4 linked regions of the Schizosaccharomyces pombe genome follow. The protein of the gene in region 1 interacts with the protein of each later gene in a biochemical or structural test. Each region holds a gene or a part of one and is shown on either strand. Other genes may lie near its edges.

What was found.
Region 2: the proteins of act1 (region 1) and adf1 form a complex in vitro, tested with the Schizosaccharomyces pombe proteins (4 studies listed by BioGRID).
Region 3: the proteins of act1 (region 1) and myo2 form a complex in vitro, tested with the Schizosaccharomyces pombe proteins (one study listed by BioGRID).
Region 4: the proteins of act1 (region 1) and cdc8 form a complex in vitro, tested with the Schizosaccharomyces pombe proteins (2 studies listed by BioGRID).

Annotation. Positions count from the first base shown.
Region 1 is NC_003423.3:1,474,985-1,479,404, forward strand, and holds act1 (actin Act1), read right to left. Parts: upstream 2,350-4,420; 5' UTR 2,293-2,349; coding exon 1,165-2,292; 3' UTR 501-1,164; downstream 1-500. Other genes in the region: spore wall alpha-1,3-glucan synthase Mok12, read right to left, coding at 3,120-4,420. UniProt on the Schizosaccharomyces pombe protein: Actins are highly conserved proteins that are involved in various types of cell motility and are ubiquitously expressed in all eukaryotic cells.
Region 2 is NC_003424.3:4,824,667-4,828,083, reverse strand, and holds adf1 (cofilin), read left to right. Parts: upstream 1-1,957; 5' UTR 1,958-2,006; coding exon 2,007-2,009; intron 2,010-2,060; coding exon 2,061-2,166; intron 2,167-2,329; coding exon 2,330-2,634; 3' UTR 2,635-2,827; downstream 2,828-3,417. Other genes in the region: C-24(28) sterol reductase Erg4, read left to right, coding at 40-1,401. UniProt on the Schizosaccharomyces pombe protein: Controls reversibly actin polymerization and depolymerization in a pH-sensitive manner. It has the ability to bind G- and F-actin in a 1:1 ratio of cofilin to actin. Binding to F-actin is regulated by tropomyosin.
Region 3 is NC_003421.2:1,232,731-1,240,312, forward strand, and holds myo2 (myosin II heavy chain myo2), read right to left. Parts: upstream 5,507-7,582; 5' UTR 5,301-5,506; coding exon 720-5,300; 3' UTR 501-719; downstream 1-500. Other genes in the region: Smc5-6 complex non-SMC MAGE family subunit Nse3, read left to right, coding at 1-441; RhoGEF for Rho1, Rgf3, read right to left, coding at 6,655-7,582. UniProt on the Schizosaccharomyces pombe protein: Required for cell division. It is a component of the cdc12 'spot', a structure thought to mark the site of septation. May work in conjunction with myo3.
Region 4 is NC_003424.3:4,318,677-4,322,255, reverse strand, and holds cdc8 (tropomyosin), read left to right. Parts: upstream 1-2,020; 5' UTR 2,021-2,051; coding exon 2,052-2,069; exon of another isoform or gene 2,070-2,083; intron 2,084-2,128; coding exon 2,129-2,596; 3' UTR 2,597-3,009; downstream 3,010-3,579. Other genes in the region: protein Nuf2, read left to right, coding at 1-374; ubiquitin hydrolase Uch1, read left to right, coding at 781-1,449. UniProt on the Schizosaccharomyces pombe protein: Forms part of the F-actin contractile ring during cytokinesis.

The sequences.
Region 1 (4,420 bases):
TTTTTCATCAACATCATTTAACGTTCGTTTTAATGCGTCTATACTCTGTCACGAGTTCAGGCACCGGGTCTTGGCCATCCTTTTTCATACATGTTCTGCAAATTTCGATGGATCTTTTCTTTCCATGTTTCAGCAGCAACTTATTTTATTTAATATGGTTAACATTTTTCTCTTATTCTTTGAACAATGGTTTTAATATTATCATAATACTACAAAAAAAAATAATAATCTCTTGTAATAATATATGTTGACGAAACAATTCTAAATAAAGTCATAGGAATGTAATATCATTGGATTTGTTTATACAGAGAGGCGTCGTCAGTCCAAATTACTTTGTCACTATATATTAATCGCTCAACTATACAACTGGCTAATCGGGCTCCATCTCCTACAGCTTCATAATTCACTACTTCCTCTCTTTTTATATTTGAAGAACACTAATCATACCAATGTCTTACAATTTATAAGAATTTTACCTCAACTATACTATCCAACAATGATCATATACCATGTATGTATTAAATCTTTTTTTGACCTAATAAACTTTTGCTAATACTAATGTAAAACACATTCAACCATTTGGCTTCAAAGTTATACAAGTTCAGGTACCAATTAAATCAGTACTGAAGATGATACAACTCTACAGGACGAAAAGAAATGGCTGATGAAGTACATTGCACCACTTCCGCTTCTAACTATCTCGCAGTTACCACCTTGTACAAAATAAAATTCGTAAAAATTAACGGGAGTAAGTAAAATTCATTTACTACAGTTCTTTAATCGATAATCACAGCGATAAACATAACGAAAATATCGACAAAAATAATCGGCCGGACTCGAGAAGAAACATGTTAAAGAAAACGGGAAGTTATAAGCGAATGAAGTAACATCATAGGTATCTACTGGAAATATTTCTGTAACTTCAATATGTAAAAGGCTAGCTCTGCATTCGTCTATAATGAAAAAAAGAAAACAGAGCAAGAAAACGATAGTAATCAGAAAGTATATAAAACACTCCAATAATTGATACCCAAAGTTCCTCATGAGATGTTAAGAGCGGAAAAAGGTGGTTAAATAGGTAAAAAAAGATTGAAATTTATATATATCAGAAGAATCGATGTTATTCAAAAGTATGTAAAAAACGTTACAAAAAGTAAGAGGAGCTTAGAAGCACTTACGGTAAACGATACCAGGTCCGCTCTCATCATACTCTTGCTTGGAGATCCACATCTGTTGGAAAGTAGAAAGAGAAGCAAGAATGGATCCACCAATCCAGACAGAGTATTTACGCTCAGGAGGAGCAACAATCTTGACCTTCATGGAGCTAGGAGCAAGGGCTTGAATCTCCTTTTGCATACGATCGGCAATACCGGGATACATAGTGGTACCACCAGACATAACAACGTTACCGTACAAATCTTTACGAATATCAACATCACATTTCATGATAGAGTTGTAAGTAGCCTCATGAATACCGGCGTTTTCAAGACCCAAAGCTGAGGGTTGGAAAAGAGCTTCAGGGGCACGGAAACGCTCGTTTCCGATAGTGATAACTTGACCATCAGGAAGCTCATAAGATTTCTCAAGGGAGGAAGATTGAGCAGCAGTTTGAAGTTCTTGCTCAAAGTCCAAAGCGACGTAGCAAAGTTTCTCCTTGATGTCACGAACAATTTCACGTTCGGCGGTAGTAGAGAAAGTATAACCACGCTCCATGAGAATCTTCATAAGGTAGTCAGTCAAGTCACGACCGGCGAGATCAAGACGCATGATAGCATGAGGAAGAGCATAACCCTCATAAATGGGAACAGTGTGGGTAACACCATCACCAGAGTCCAAGACGATACCAGTGGTACGACCAGAGGCATACAAAGACAAAACAGCTTGAATAGCAACATAAAAGGCAGGTGCATTAAAGGTTTCGAAAATAATTTGAGTCATCTTCTCACGGTTGGATTTGGGGTTCAAAGGAGCCTCAGTCAACAAGCAAGGGTGCTCCTCAGGAGCAACACGAAGCTCGTTGTAGAAAGTGTGATGCCAAATCTTTTCCATATCATCCCAGTTGTTGACAATACCGTGCTCAATGGGGTACTTCAAGGTCAAAATACCACGCTTGCTTTGAGCTTCATCACCAACGTAGGAATCCTTTTGTCCCATACCTACCATAATACCATGGTGACGGGGTCTACCGACAATCGAGGGGAATACAGCTCTAGGGGCATCATCTCCAGCGAAACCGGCTTTGCACATACCAGAGCCATTATCAATAACCAACGCTGCGATTTCTTCTTCCATGGTCTTGTCTTTTGAGGGTTTTTTGGTTCGTTACAAAAAATGTAGTTGGTAAACGGTAAGTTATAACACGGCTGGCTGAGGTGGTATGAAGCCGTTGATTACATATAGATAAGATACACAGTTATACAGTGAAAATCTCTTATATATTTTAAAATATACATTTAAGTATAATGGGTGTTTAAATATGTATGAAATTGCTATATTTGAGCCACTTTTTTGATAAAGCCACACACAGCGTTAGCACTTCACGGCAGAATGCGCACGGAAGAAGACCGCGGAAACGGATAACATTGAGCAACCGGTTGTAGTACTGTAAGCGATATAGCAAATCCTTTAAAAGCTCTTATAAACATATAAGGAAATATAATTTCCGCGTTATTTAACTTGAAAAGCAAAAAACAAAAGAAAATGAAAGTTCACGATATCGAATATAAAAGAGATGGTCATAAAAATCTTATCAAAATTCACAGACAAATCTTCAAAGGTATTTCAAGTATTTGCAACTCGCGTGTCCCTATTTTATTAGTATTCATTCGACATTGTTATGATCAATAATTTAACACTAGCAAAAAAAAAGGTAATTTTTTTTTATCAAATGGCTATTAAATTACATCTAATTAAAAATTTCTCTTGATACAATGTATTATAGTTGGGTTGAATCGTATACTATAAAAATAATTAGTGATCAAAAGAATGAATATTAGTTTTAATCAAAGATAGATAAAAGTATAAGAATAATCATTAACATAAAAATTAAGATGTCATAAAATAAAAGAAAAATTCAGTAAAAACAACCCAAACACCGTCTCATTATCGTAGATCAAACACTAAAGAGCAAGCTGACTTTTACGATAGTGATAGAGCAATCCTCCAACAGCTACAAATTGACATATTAGTGCAATATAAAAGCAAGGTGATGCACAAGGTCCCGGTCCTTCGCTAGGATTCCATGCACCAAGATTTGGGAATACTCGATCACTTACAGGCAGAGAAGGTTTTGCGATCATAATTGTAATACAACTTATAACTTGCGCTAGCATCAACGTGAAAGCAACATGATCTCTCGCCAGGGTTTGCAGTAACATTACACCGACACCGACTCCCTGTATCCCGTCCCATAGAGCTAGCAAAAGCCATACTGACTTCGTCAGCAAGGCAGAAGCCTTACCAGCCCATGGTAAATTAATTCCGAGACCCGAGGATGACCAAAACTCTAAGCACCAGCGTGGACAAATGAGGCCCAATCCAAATATCACTGGAAACCAAACGTTATTAAGAGACAAAATCTTTATAACTGATAAGAGAACGGCCCAAACCACGATGAAGAAAATGAGTAAAAGAATGATTATGCTCCACAAAGGAGTGTTGCTAGTATTCCAGAAAAACCTCCAAGCCTGGCCATAAGGGACAGCAAGCCAGTAATTGATTAAAATTTGAGAGATAAAAAACCAAATTACAATATTTCGTTTTCCTAATGAACGATAAAACGCTGGAATGATAGAAGGAGCTTGGCGATAAAAAGCAGGTAAACCTGCGAATGTTACGTAGGAAAGCCCGAAGCAAATGAAAGAGGCGATAAGTCCCCCTGCAAAAATGCCAGGCCCCACATTTTGAGTCAAATCTTTCTTCGATAATAGATCTCCCCATGACCAGAGGATTGCAGACCAAATCTGTTGAATCCCATGTACAAGACAGGCCCTCAAAATCCAATGATGAGTTGCGATACCTCCTTCGGCACCAAAATTCCATGCAAAATACAGCGATCCAGTAGAACTTGAAATGGCATAAACGTAAGCCGCTATGTGTTGAATTACCGAACAAGCAGTAGTTTTCTGGAAAAAGTGAGTGATCGCAACTAAAATGAAAGATATGCCAAAAAAGAAGAAAGGGAGAGATAAAATGTATCTCGCTTGAACCACTCGGGATAAGAACCACCAAAACAGAGAGAAGAATGAGAAAATAGAGAGCAGAATGTACATGGACACTGTAGATTGCGCAGATTCTCCAGAAAGTAAAGTTAATTGATAAGAAGATGCTCCAAGAATTTGCCCAATTGCCAATACAATCGTATATAGAGGCCATCCACCAATACTGTGAAGAAGTAATTTTTGTAACCGAGTAGCTTCAT
Region 2 (3,417 bases), on another chromosome or scaffold:
TTTTTATAGACACGTTGTGTGAAGTAGATAGAATTCGCGATGAAATCTACAGTAAAGAAATCAGCTCCTCGTGAGTTTGGCGGTGCCAAAGGTGCATTGGCAATTATGACAGGATTCCCTTGTCTAATGTATTACTTATGGGCATGCTCCAAATTTAATGATTCGCAGTTTATTAAACCAGAATCTTTTACGATAGCAGGATTTCAAAATTTTTTTAGAACGTTAGGCCATTATATCTACGTCGGTGCCTATCCAACACGGTATGCATTCTTGGTTTTTTGGTCGTTTTGTATAGTTCAGGCTGTCATGTACTTAACTCTTCCTGGTGTTCGGACGCAAGGTTTGCCTTTAAAGCATCGCAATAACGAACGTCTTCCTTACTTATGCAATGCTATCTGGTCTTTTTACACGACAATTGTTATTCTTGCCGTTCTTCACGTGACCCACGTATTTCCAATTACTACATTTATCGACATGTTCGGTCCTTTGATGAGCGTTGCAATAATAACCGCTTTTGTCTGTACCTTTGTTTTGTACACTGGAACTTTGCTTTTTGGTGATCGACTTTTTGATAAACCTCATCGGTTATCTGGAAATCCCATCTACGATGCCTTTATGGGAGCTTGCTTGAATCCTCGCCTTGGCAAATTGCTTGATTTTAAAATGTTCTTTGAAGTTCGTATCCCTTGGTTTATCCTATTCTTTATTTCCGTTGGTGCTGCTGTTCGTCAATATGAAACTTATGGCACTGTAAGTCCTCAGGTACTTTTCGTTTGTCTTGGCCATTATTTGTATGCAAACGCGTGCTCGAAGGGAGAGCAGTTGATTGTTCCAACTTGGGACATGGCTTATGAAAAGTTTGGTTTTATGCTTATCTTTTGGAACATGGCTGGGGTCCCATTTACTTATTCACACTGCACCCTTTACCTTTTTTCGCATGATCCATCTGTTTACAACTGGTCAACTCAATATACAACCGGTATTTATGTTTTGCTTCTTTGCTGTTATTATATATTTGATACTTGCAATGGTCAAAAAAATCATTTCCGTAATCAAATTTATGGTACTGAGGTTCATCGCAAAACATTTCCCCAACTTCCCTGGCTTATCATCAAGAACCCTACCTTTATTCGTTGTGCAAATGGCGGTACTTTGTTGACTTCAGGTTGGTATAGGTACGCTCGTAAAATTCATTATACTGCTGATTTCTTTCAATCATTGTCATGGGCATTGATCACCGGTTTTCAGTCCCCTCTACCTTACTTTTACCCATGCTTTTTCTTTGTAGTCCTTGTGCATCGTGTTTCACGTGATATTAAAAAGTGCAAAGCTAAGTATGGGGCTGATTTCGATGAGTATTGCCGTATATGCCCTTACTTATTTATTCCCTATATATTTTAGAAATGTCTTTTTAGTCCCTTCTTTACTTAATAAATTGGCTATTCAAAATTCCACTTGAAGTGTTTTTCTACTTTAAAATTCAGTTAATTTTTGTGAAAGTTCTCAAATTTGATTGAGTAGCTGGAACATTCCTTAAGTTATGAACGAACAAAGTAAGCAGCTCTGACCGTTTTTTATACAATCTATTTCTAGACTTAAAAATTATTAACTTCCAAGTCTTTTTGCATAAAGATTTTTGGAAATAGCGTAAGGAATAGCTAATAAATAGTAACAATCATCTTGTTTCTTCATAGCGATCCATTTACAGTTAAATTTTTTTTTGCATTAGTTCACTCACTTGCTAGATATATAAATTAGTGTGGAATATTTAGGCGGTAGTGCATACGCATAACCATTTGCTATTATTTTTTTGTAGAACTGTATGTTTTTTCGCTTATATTTAATAAGGGTCATGCAACATAATAATAAGAAATTATAGACTCTGCTTGTTTAGAGTAGTGCGCCACCCTTACTTGGGGCGACGGTATCTACTGATGCGAGTAGCCCTCCCCTAACCAAACCAGTGCCAACCACACTAGCTTACCCGCTATCAGTAAATAAATAATATGGTATGAAATATTTTTGTTAACTTTACATCGTGTTTATTTAACATACATTAGTCTTTTTCAGGTGTCAAAGTCTCTCCCGAATGCTTGGAAGCTTTCCAAGAGCTCAAGCTTGGAAAGTCACTCCGTTACGTAGTTTTCAAAATGAACGATACCAAGAGTAAGTGACGAAAACGATTTAGATGGAATTTGAGAAAGTCCAATATCCCTTTTTTTAAAAATAAATTTATTTATCTACATTGATATATATTTTATGTTTGTAATGTCTTTCTATGTCGTTTTTATAATTATGTGGAACCTTTCACTAATTTTTTTTTGTTTAGCTGAAATTGTTGTTGAAAAGAAGAGTACGGATAAGGACTTCGATACTTTCCTTGGTGACTTGCCTGAAAAGGATTGCCGTTATGCTATCTATGATTTTGAGTTCAATCTCGGAGAAGGTGTTCGTAACAAGATTATCTTTATTAGCTGGTCTCCTGATGTTGCTCCCATTAAATCTAAGATGGTTTACTCTTCTTCTAAAGATACTTTACGTCGCGCTTTTACTGGAATCGGTACTGACATCCAAGCAACTGATTTCTCCGAAGTTGCTTATGAGACAGTTCTTGAGAAGGTTACTCGTAAGTAAAACACTTTTGGTTACGATTTCTTGACTCATGCGTAATACGAAATGAAATTAAATAACTTCGTTTCGGTATGCAAACCGATCCTTCAACGCTCCTTAAATATCTTTTTCTATATATTTAGAACTATAAATACAAAGATTTAAGTGTACGTTGGTTTCCTGTTGATATTTAATTTGTCAATAGTATATCTACTTTAAAAAATTTGTCATGTGATAACGGATGAGTCGGTATATGAAAAACACTGCAAGTTATTTGCCAATGTAATTGACAAGCAATCATAGAGAAATTAGTTCTACGCAGTTTCCACCACTAGCTGAAATGTTTGAGTGCCTGGGTGCTTGCAGGTTTTTATTCATCTACTTCAAGTATGGTATAGTAAGTAAGCTTAGTTTTATTTTCTCAGTTCCGACTTTTTAATTCTGTAGATTTCATCTACCACTATTTAGTCATTGAAATTGTTACAAATATTCCTCTATATATAATGATTCTGCATTCCTAAAAATGCTAATTAACAAATTACGAAATCCAACGATCTACAAAGTAATGCCATTCCATATTAATATAACAATTGCTGTTCATTCGCTATCATTTTAAAATGATGTTTTCATTAGTTTGCTCATTGATCACATAGCATGTATTTTACCAGCTATTTTCAACGTACTAGTCTACTTGATCTGTTATTGATCAAATGTAAGTGAATTGCTGCTTTTATTGTTATTATAATCAATAAAGTAAGCAAATTTACACTGGGGCACAATCAAACATTGGTATGCAAAGAACATTAA
Region 3 (7,582 bases), on another chromosome or scaffold:
TGGGTGTTGAGGTCTACCCTTCCTATGGAACTTCAAAAGGATTCTCGCTTAATTGTAGATTCGGTATTGGATACTGCTTATTATGGATTTTTGATGACTGTGATCGCATTCATAGCCGTTTCTCATTGCAGTGTAGGACATTCAGAACTGCAATCTTTTTTGCAGGAACTTCTAACAGAGGAAGAAACAACCCCTTTGCATCTGGATATTACTCGCTCGTTATCTCTTTTAGTTCGCCAAGGGTATTTAGATAGAGTGAAAGATGATACCCATAACCAGTTTGTTTATTATATTGGATCCCGTGCAGTAACTGAAATTTCTATTGAAGGCTTGAAATCATTCGTTACAGAGTTCTTTCCGGATTCAGACATTGATATGGATGCTCTATTAACCGAATATCGGCAGGAGTATCAGAATCAATCTTCCTCAAGTGCAGCATAGATGACTCTTAGGTTTTTACATTATGCTCGTCTCATGTTAATGCTATTGTATACTTACTCCGCTACTACAAAAAAATTCGTAATATTATTTAAGTTCCTATATGCGTGCTAATATCTCGATATAAATTTAAGATGTATATTTGGTTATATAGCGGGAATATTATGTACAGCTGTTAAATAAAAAAAATAAAAAAATAGCTCGTAAACTTATAAGAGAAGTATATGTCAGTATATATAATATAATTAATAAAGGTTTCATCATTACAAAATCATTTAACTTCATGCGGCGCGCAACTCATCTTCAAGGCTTGCAATGCGATCTCGTAAAGCTCTCACATCTATTAACGAATCTTTGTTCACTTTTTCCAAAGAAGCAATTCGTTTTTGTAACTCCTGCTCACGTTTTTCATATTGTACTTGAACGGAAAACATTTTTGCCTTTTCGCTATTTATTTGATCCTTCAGAGCTTTCAATTCAATAGCATGAGCCAAGTTGACATGTTGCAAAGATTGGCCAGTAGGTTGAGGTGATACTTCGGCCCCTTTTAACTCATTAACTTGCTTCTCTAAGTTGTGCTTCTCAAGATTAAGACGGTCGTAGTCTCGTTTCAAGTTCTCGTATAACGCTTGATTTGCATTTCTTTGCTGTAAATCAAAAATTGTCTTTCGTTGTGGAATATTTTTCAAAACGGGTTCCGTAGTTTTGACAGCCGGTATATTATTCTCCTTTCCGGACGGTCTATGTTCTTTAAGGCGATGTATCTCTGCCTCTCGCTTCTTGCAGGAATCAAGAGCAGAATTCAGTTCCTTTCGAGTATCAACCAGCTTCATTTCTACTTCTGAAAGCTTACTACGTATACTTTCATGATCAGCAACTTTGTTCCTTAAAAGGGTGACTTCCGAACGGAGGCTTCTAGTTGTTTTTACTTCTTCTAGTACCTTTTGATACTCAACTTCAAGCTTTCGTTTACTCTCCAACTCTGATTTCAAAGAGCGTAATTCTTCGTTATCTCGACTAGCTATCAATGCTTTACGCTTTTCATCTTCAAAGGTCTTACCGAGTTGACTGTACTCGTGCATTAAGTTAGTAATCTTCCTCTCAAGTTCGGGAACCTTAGATGCTTTTGGAGAAAGTTCATTTACTTGCTTCGTCAAACTCGATACCTTATTAGAGAGATCTTTATTCTCGGAGCTCGCCAACGAAAGCTTTTCCTTGTAGGACGCCGATTGCCGAAGAAGACTTTCATGATTAAAGGTCAAATCACGATGTTTTTTCGAAAGTTCCTGAAAGTTTGTATCGACGTCTTTTAACCCCTCCAAGTCCAGCTGAAGTCCTTCATATTTTTTCTTGTAATTCTCCAAGTCGCTAACTTTAAGAAGTAAATTCTCATGGATTTCTTGCAATTCAATGTACTTTAAAGAAGCATCTGACAAATTTTGGCATTTCTCTTCCTTATTTTCAAGCTCTTTCGTTAACGATTTGATGTTATTTAAACATTCTTTAACTTTGGCTTCCAGTTCTTTATTTTTGGTAGCCTGGAGCTGATAAAGTTGATCTTTGTCATTCAAGGATTCTAGTTCTTTCTTCAATTTCGGAAGCTGTTTGACATCGGCTTCCAAATAATTAACCTTCTCTTCTAAGTTATTTATTGTTAACTCTTGCACTCCTTTCAAGACGCTTAACTCTTCTTTCTGCTGTTTTAAAATAGAGACGTCGCTTATAAGAGTAGAATTTTCACGTTCTAATTTTTTGACTCGTTTGAGACTCTCAGATAAAGAACCTTCCTGCTGAATACTCTTTTCATTCATCTTCTGATTTGTCAGTCTCATTTCTTGAATTTCAGTTTTATAGTCAGAAATATATTTAGTGAGTTTATCAAGTTCAGCATCCTTGGTAACGATAGTTTCCTGTAAACTTTTACATTGTTCATTGAACTCTGCTTTTTCTGATAAAACAGTTGCATTGTTCTCACGTAAAGACTCAAGTTCTCCCTTTGTATCTAGCAAATCCTTCTCTTCCAAACTCAGTTTTTCTTTCAGTTCGTTCTGTTCTGATAACAAAGTCTCAACCTTGGAAGTTTTTTCTAGTAACTCACTTTCTAATTCGTTATTAATCTGTTTCAATGACGCTGACTCTCGTTGCAAATTTTCATTTTGCTGTTTTGTTTCGCTAAACGAATCTTCTATGTTTGCAAGCCTTTCCTGTGTTCGACGTAATATTTCCTCCTTATCAAGGGCTATCGCACGTTCAGTAGTAAGCAAATTTTCAACAGCAGTTAAAGAATTGTTGGTCTCGACGAGATCACGCTCTACCTCAGATTTTGAATTCTGTTGTTTTTTCAGCTCGTACTTCAGCTCTATGATTTCAGCATCTCGCTTTTTAAGCTGCTTATCATTTTGAGTACTACTTAATAAGGGCCTTAGATTGAAAAATAACTTAGCCCAAGGAAAAGTTCTAAATTCATTGTACACTTGCAAATTTGCTTGTAGTAATTTGATGGCTTGTATGTCCTTCAATCGCTTTTGAAAAATTTTTCTTTGAAGAAAGCCACGGATCCTTGTTTGTAGCATAGTCATCAGTCTTTGTAAAGTCGCTACGCGCCTCTCCTCTAATTCTGCTAAAACACCTGCTTTGAAAAATATTTTTGAAACACCAATTCGATAAGATGCTTCGTCAATTTTCAACTCCTCCAAAATCATGACAGAAGCACGTCGAGATTCCACATAGGTACCTGTTGGTAAATGCGCCATTATCTCATATCTGACTCTAAAATCATTAAATGGTAAACGGTTAGGAAAACCAGCCCTTGTGATTCTGATTCCTTCCAAAACACCATTACATCGAAGTTGTCCTAAAACGAGGGGTCTATTAAAGGTGTGCATTTTCTTTTCTTCGTTTGGAACAATACAACGAATAAAGTGAGGTTGGGTCGAGTTAAATTGATTCATAAGCTGATTGAGCTGCTCTTTATGCCTTTGAGCAACAGTTCGAAAAAGGCCCTTTTTCGTCCTTCCCCTAACAGTTTTAGTCTCAGTTTCCTGATAATCAGAAAATAGTGTAGCGACATGCTTGTTAGTAGATTGCGCAAGCAACTTAGCAACGTTTTCATTCAAAGGATCGGTGTTCTTCTCCAGCCAACCTTCTGTACTGTAAGGAACATCAGCGGCATAATGAGTCAAAATAAAACCTTGATCGGCAAACTTAAAAGGTTTATATTTTAGCGACTTGTTCCTCCAAAGAGCATCAAGTTTAGAAGTAAACGTAGCATCAGTTGCTTTCGGCATAACACATTCTTCATCCAAACATGAAAGAATACCTATTGGGTTTGCTTTCTCGATTAAATCAATAGTCGGCTGTAAATCATGTCCAAAATCAATGAAATCCCATACAATTTCTTCTTTCATATATTCTTCTTGCTCCAATACGAACATGTGATGGTTAAAGAATTGTTGCAACTTTTCATTTGTGTAATTAATGCAAAGTTGTTCAAAACTGTTTTTCTCAAAGATTTCGAAACCGGCGATATCTAAAATACCAATAAAGTAGCTTTGGGCATTGGAATGGTTCAAGGAAGTGTTAAGTCGCTTTACCAGCCATCCAAAATTCCTTTCGTATATGGCTTTTGCTAATGCTTCAATGGACGAAATGACTTGAGTTTGACTTCGAGCGCTGATAACCCATTCATGGCCTGCTTTAATACGAGGTCGAACAAGATTTTGTGAAAATAACTCCGGAGACACACCAAGCAAATGACAGAGCTTGTCAATCTCATCAGGATTGAGAAGACGAGCTATACCAGAGCGATCAGCACCGACATCAATATTTCCCATATGTAGAATAATGGAAAGTATATTAAATAAATCAAAGTTCTCTTTATCGTCAAATCCAAGAGTTTTAAAAGCAGCTAAAAGAGTTTTAAACTCTTCTTTATCGTCAACTCCATCAATAATGTGAACCGAATCCTTCAAATATCGATAATCATTACAGTTATCGGTTAAAAGAAGTTTGTTCTTGAGAGCAGTATCAGCACCACTTAAAAGCTGATAAAAAACATGGTAGTTTCTTTCAAACTCGTTCTGATGAACAACGCGAGATTTTTCAAGAAGATACCATTCTATGGCGGCATTCGAAATTTCCCCACTCAAAGAAAACTCAACTTTAATGAATTTTCCAAAACGAGAAGAATTGTTGTTGCGTACGGTACGAGCATTACCAAATGATTCGAGCACAGGATTCGTTTTAATGATCTGCTCTTCAACCTGACTAGAGCCAACGGTAGTCGAGCTAGCAATTGCTGCAAGATATTGGATGATTCTTTTGGTATTCTCTGTTTTACCTGCGCCGGACTCACCAGTTACAAGAATCGATTGATTTTCCTTATTTTCTAAAAGGTTATTGTATGCTAAATCCGCGATTGCGAAGACATGAGGTAGCTTGCGCTCTTGTGTTTTATCTTTGTACAATTGAATGATGTCCTTCGTATAGATTGGTAGTCCACAATAAGGATTGACCGCAACGAGAAAGAGCCCAGAATAGGTATAAATTTGATCAGAGAGATATCTCTGTTCAAGATTGTATGTGACTGCAGGCTCGTTTAAGTATGTCAACTCAGCCATGTCATTGACTCTATCAAACTTGGCAGGATTCACCGGATCAATTTCATCCTCACCAACGATCTTCTCATCCCTGGAATTATTATACCGAACAACATATTTCTTGTCTGGCAGATCCTCTTTAATCCAAGCCTTGGTAAAGGCAGTCTCTGGGTCGGAAATCCAAACCCATCGTTTATCATCAATATCCTTCAGACTAGTTGCACCATCTTTTGCAGTTATTTTATTAGATATTACTTCTGTCATCGGGCTACTCTCTAAGACGGTTATTTACCGCCTTTCCTGAAAATAAACAATGCGGTGTACAATACCAAAACCTTGTAAAACAATAAGGATAGACCAAAAATCAAAGAGTGAAAAAATCCAAAAAGATAGCAATAGATATATCCGAAAAGAAGGATCAACAAATGCACAGAGAAAACGTTAAAGAACTATGTTGTTGGATACTTTTTGTACTCCCCGTTGAACGCACAGCAATTAATGATTTAAGCACTTGAACATTCGATTAACGCATGCGTTAATCGAACGTTTATGTACTTGATCATATTTGCGTTAAAACATTTAGTATAGGTTAAGGTAGCATCCAGAAACATTCCTATAACATAATGATTTTAATATCACAATTAAGAAGGTATATATATCTTTTAAAAGAAATAATATTAATAGATGGAGGTCATTATATACTCGGTCTTTTGCAATTAAAGTCCTGACAAATTTTTAAAGCTTTACTTTCATCAAGATTGAAGATATTAAGTAATAATTGAAAATACATTGTACTAATACTCAAAACATCAAATGAACGTAGGATTAGGGGTTACGGTTTAATCGAAATTTCATGTTCCCCCGTGCTTTTAGGTAAAATGATTGTATAAAAAACTCCCGCTATTACAGATATATGAGTAATTTGTGACTAGATACGCAAATAATATGTTCCTCATCGTACCGAACACAACTTTTAAAGCAAATAACTAAACTCGGCATTTATTTATCTACATTTTATATATAGCACTCTAATCATGCCTCTTACTGAATAATTATAAGAACACGCTCTAGCTAATAATCGCAATCAGTAATTATTATGTGCTTACTGACCATCTACAGCTATGGCCCTGGTAATAATCAATAAGTAAATATACAGAAATGTTAGTTGCTTCAGTTAGTGTTTGAAAGAAAGCATGGTGCTTCAATGTGTAACCACATCTTTAAACTTATGATCAAAACATGCAGAATACCATAACCAGTTACGTAAAAAAACAACAATGTTCTCTGTTTTCATCAACTGTAGTCGGCAAGTTTATGCAACTTGTACAATAAGCCAATTTTGGCTTAACACTGAACATAATGATAGTAGCGATCATTTTAAGTAATTAAAAAATGTTAATGCATGCAGATTTTAATATTCCTTTGTGATAAAATGGGTAGGGAAATGTAAAAAAAAAAAAAAAGAAGAAATAAAATTTCAAGGCTGCGATAAAATATGATTCGAAAGATGCAGGATGTTCCGTAAAACAAAATAAGATAAACGTTTCCGATATTCAAAAGTATGGATGAGTAAAAAAGACAATCATGGCAAGAAAACTTGTAATAAATATGATAATTATCAATCTTCAATTATGAAGGAGTTTGTTTTTGCCTTATTTAAAGCGAGTATCAAATGGCGATCGTGATACTGAGGATGAACCATGCCAAACATTATATATTTCCCATTGGCTAGCCAATCACTGTTACTAGGGTAGTATTTAATGTCATTTCCTTGGATAATTTGATTAAGTTTCCTAGTTCGCGTGTTCCATATTTCGACAAATTCATCATTAAATGCAATGAGATATCCATGACAGCTGGTAACAGAGTTCGGTTTGCCAATCCAATCAAACCAACACTCTTTATTAACCATACTACCCTCTCCATTGACAAACACGGCACCGAATTGATAGCAGCATGCAAATAAGCTAGGATCGTGGATGCGAAAGACGCCAAGCGGCTTACTGTTGTTGATTCGGTTCCGAAACAACGTATCATTAAGCACTGAAGGGCTTGGAAAACCAACTGCTAATTTAGGGTCCAAACGCAGAACGTCAATGCCTTTATTGTGACAAAGAGCAATTGAATACTTAAAGCAATCAATTGAATGACAGTTAGCCGTTACGTGAAAATCATCCAGAGTTCTGAAGGAAGTAACATCTTTTCTCTTGAAGGCATATGTTTTCTGATAGTTATGTCCTAAGCCGATCACTGGTTCACAGCAAATTATGGTTGTAGTATTACCGAGTCCCTCTTTATAAAAAACCAAAGTTCGCTCACGTTTAACAGAAGCCCCCTCAGACAATTTACCTATTTTAAAGAATGATACGGCATGCGGAGTTCCAATGACAACTGCAATTTTGGATTCGATCAGACCCATTTCAATAATACGACTTAATTTATGAGCATAAAGGGTTTTGTCACGTAGCTCTAATAGGATATCAAATTCCTCAACAACTCCAAGCTGGGTAACGCGTCTTTGACTAGAGATCTTTTTCCAATCGCGA
Region 4 (3,579 bases), on another chromosome or scaffold:
TTTGCGATCAAATAGAAATAAACAAAAAAAAACTTGAGTTCAGAAAAGAACAACTTTTAAAGCAATTATCTAATGCTCAAGAAAAACTCGAGCATGAACAACATTCTCGAAATCAAAAACTTGAGGCTGCCAAACAACGAATGGACAACATACGGGAAGAATACAAAGTAATTACCCAAGAAAGGAATAAAAAGATTCAGGAGACTGAAAAGAAAAATGCCATGATAGAGATGACCGAACAAAAAATTGCTGGAATGCGAGAAGAACTGGAGTCTCAAATATCCTCTATAACTATGGAATTCGAAAAATTGAAATCGCACGTGGAGCTTTATATTGCTGAACTTCTCAGAAACTTAAGGTCTTCTAACTCTTAGTATCTTCATTTTGAAAAATCTTTATTCGTGCAAATATTTCAACACTACCTATAAGAACGTTGGTTGGACTTCGAAGCCAGAATTTTAGATTTTACAGTAAATGTATATAGGTAAATCTTGGTAATTATTAATATTTTATGACTCTATTTATAATATACCTATGGAACAATCCCTATTTTTACAGTCATCTTCATAGCTGAACGTGACAGGATATTGAAGTATAGGATACTGATTATAGTAAAGCTTTTTTGTAGATTCCCAAAATTGGCAATCTAAAGATATTCGATTAACTTTGTCAAACTTTGGTGTTTTGCCTCTTTGCTGACTTCTGAGACCTCTGCCACGCCTTCCAAACCTGATCAAAAAAGCCTCAATTAGAGCCATTTATCATTCGAGAAAAATTACAATGTGGAGGCCTTTAGAAAATACACCAGAGGTGCTGGAACCTTACTTACAAAAAATCGGTGTACAAGATGCTAGCGTTTTTGACCTGTTTTCATTAGAGGAAATCCCCGAATATATCCCTCGTCCTGTCCATGCTCTTTTATTCGTTTTTCCATCCTCAGGAACAAAAACTATATATAAAGGATCACGAATTTTACCAAAGGATAGTGACAAAGTCTTGTGGTACCCTCAAACAATTCCAAATGCTTGCGGAACGATTGGATTGCTACATGCGGTTTCGAATGGAGAACTTAGAAGAAAAGTCAATGAAAATGATTTTATTAAAAGTCTAATCAGAACTGCTGAAGGTTCATCTATCGAAGAAAGGGCTAAGCTTATCGAGGATTCGAAAGAACTTGAAGCTTTACATGCAGCATTTGCTGGTCCACCTTTGGAAGTAGAGGGGTCTGAGGAAGATGTAGAAACTGATCTTCATTTTATCTGTTTTGTAAAGGGAAAATCAAAGGACGACAATCATTTTTATGAGCTAGACGGCCGCCAAGAGGGGCCCGTGCAACATTCTGAAATTGAAAGTGATTTACTGAATGCCGAAGTACTTTCAGTTATTAAAAATTATATTCAGAGTATTGATTCTCCTTTCTTTTCTCTTGTCGCAATTACGACTCCGTAACCTATGTAAGCTAAATGTTGTGAAACTTAATGAAATGATTACTTTGGCAATTGGAAGTATGATAATAGCCATTTAAAATATTGCTTCTTAAATACCTGTTTCCAACTAATTCCTAGTCTGTATGTGTGTAAATATGAAATTAACAAGCGGACCTCTTTATAATTGTATAACTAAATGATTAAATATTATTGATATATGCCATTTTTCTTTAGCAGTAGAGAGCTCTTAAAATTTCAGTCATAAATACAAAAATCAGGCATTGTTTAAATCACTTCATTCCAAACTTGAAAATCTATTGCAGGAACACTTCGATTATAATTTACAAATGTTTGACTACTGTTTTTAACTTTGCTCTTTTAACGCTTATTTCTTTGATGAAATTAACAATCTGGTGTGTTGTAAGCAAAGCCTCAACTTCTTTGTTCTTTGATGAACAAAGCGCTTTACTGTAGAGCTTGTGTGTATTTCTTTGTAATAAATTAGTAAATAGAACTTTCTTGTACCGTCAATTAATTCACCACCCTTACCGTGGTATATGCATGTCAAACACACCCATCGGTATCTTCCCTCCACCATCAAGGAAAGAAGGAAACAGTAGGAAAATGGATAAGCTTAGAGAGGTATGAGATGATAGCTTTTCATTGGAAAATCAAGTTGCTAATATTTGCTTTTTATTTAGAAAATTAATGCCGCTCGTGCTGAGACTGATGAGGCTGTCGCTCGTGCTGAAGCAGCTGAAGCCAAGTTGAAAGAAGTTGAACTTCAACTTTCTCTTAAAGAGCAAGAATATGAGTCTCTTTCGAGGAAAAGCGAAGCCGCCGAGTCTCAACTCGAAGAGTTAGAAGAAGAAACTAAGCAGTTACGTCTCAAAGCCGACAATGAAGATATTCAAAAGACGGAAGCCGAGCAGTTGAGCCGTAAAGTTGAGCTTTTAGAGGAAGAACTAGAAACTAATGACAAGCTACTTCGCGAAACCACCGAAAAGATGCGTCAAACTGATGTTAAGGCTGAGCATTTTGAACGTCGCGTCCAATCTCTAGAGCGTGAGCGTGATGATATGGAACAGAAACTAGAAGAAATGACTGACAAGTATACTAAGGTCAAGGCTGAATTAGATGAAGTTCACCAAGCTCTTGAGGATTTGTAGATAGCGAAAAGCTTGACGAACATAGAAGAAACATACCACCTTTTTTATATCTTCTATTTGCTGTCATTCTTTTTCTTTCTTACTTTGTCAACTAGCTAAGTTCGACCTCACTTTTTATGGTTTATATTTAGCGAAAAATGATTTGATTTTGGTATGGAACACTGTTTTCTTTCTTTAGTCAACTTACTGGTGTTACCTTTTTACGAGAATCAGTATTTATGATATCAAATGTCTGAGTATTGTAAATTGAGAAGAAATGTGCCCTTATCTTCCCGATTCCCACCACTTTCCCTTCTAACTTAAATAACATTTTGTAAGCATAACTGTCTTAATGTTATCTGAATGATAAGCTTTTATTTTTTTTCGAATGCCAACTCTTTAATAAAGACTTCTATATGATAAATACCGTCTTTATCTTTCCTTTTTTTTACGATGTAAATATTGAAGTTTGCTAGGCTGAAATCGGTATTTTGTAAGTTGTTTATACACGTCTACCTTAAAGTAATTCGTGCAAACGAGTGGTCGTGCTTTTGTTAGGGGATCATTATAGTTAGGTTTGTCTTACTTTATTGTATGAATGACATTCATCTTCAGCGCGGGTTTTTTAAAATCAATCTATTTTGCAGAATCACAATACCTGTTAAACTCACATTTTCTATGAATTTACCTATTTGTTAAATTGCCTTTTATTTTATTTTATTATTTTTTTTTTGGAAATCCGATATCCGTACACGTTGAAGAGCATTGTTAGGCATCGTAAGCATAATCAAAGTTGAATCAACTAAAAACATAAGATGTTAACGTAAATAAAAAGAATATCTTAATGTATTGACATGTATTGCCATTTACATGTTCTACTTGATATAAATTTACATAAACCTTTATCGGAATAACGAGGTACAGGGTTTGCGTTAATGTGCTACTTTGGTTAATGTAGACTTACCGTCGGCTTGTCAACTACCAAAGAGCAAAGAAGGCCAAAG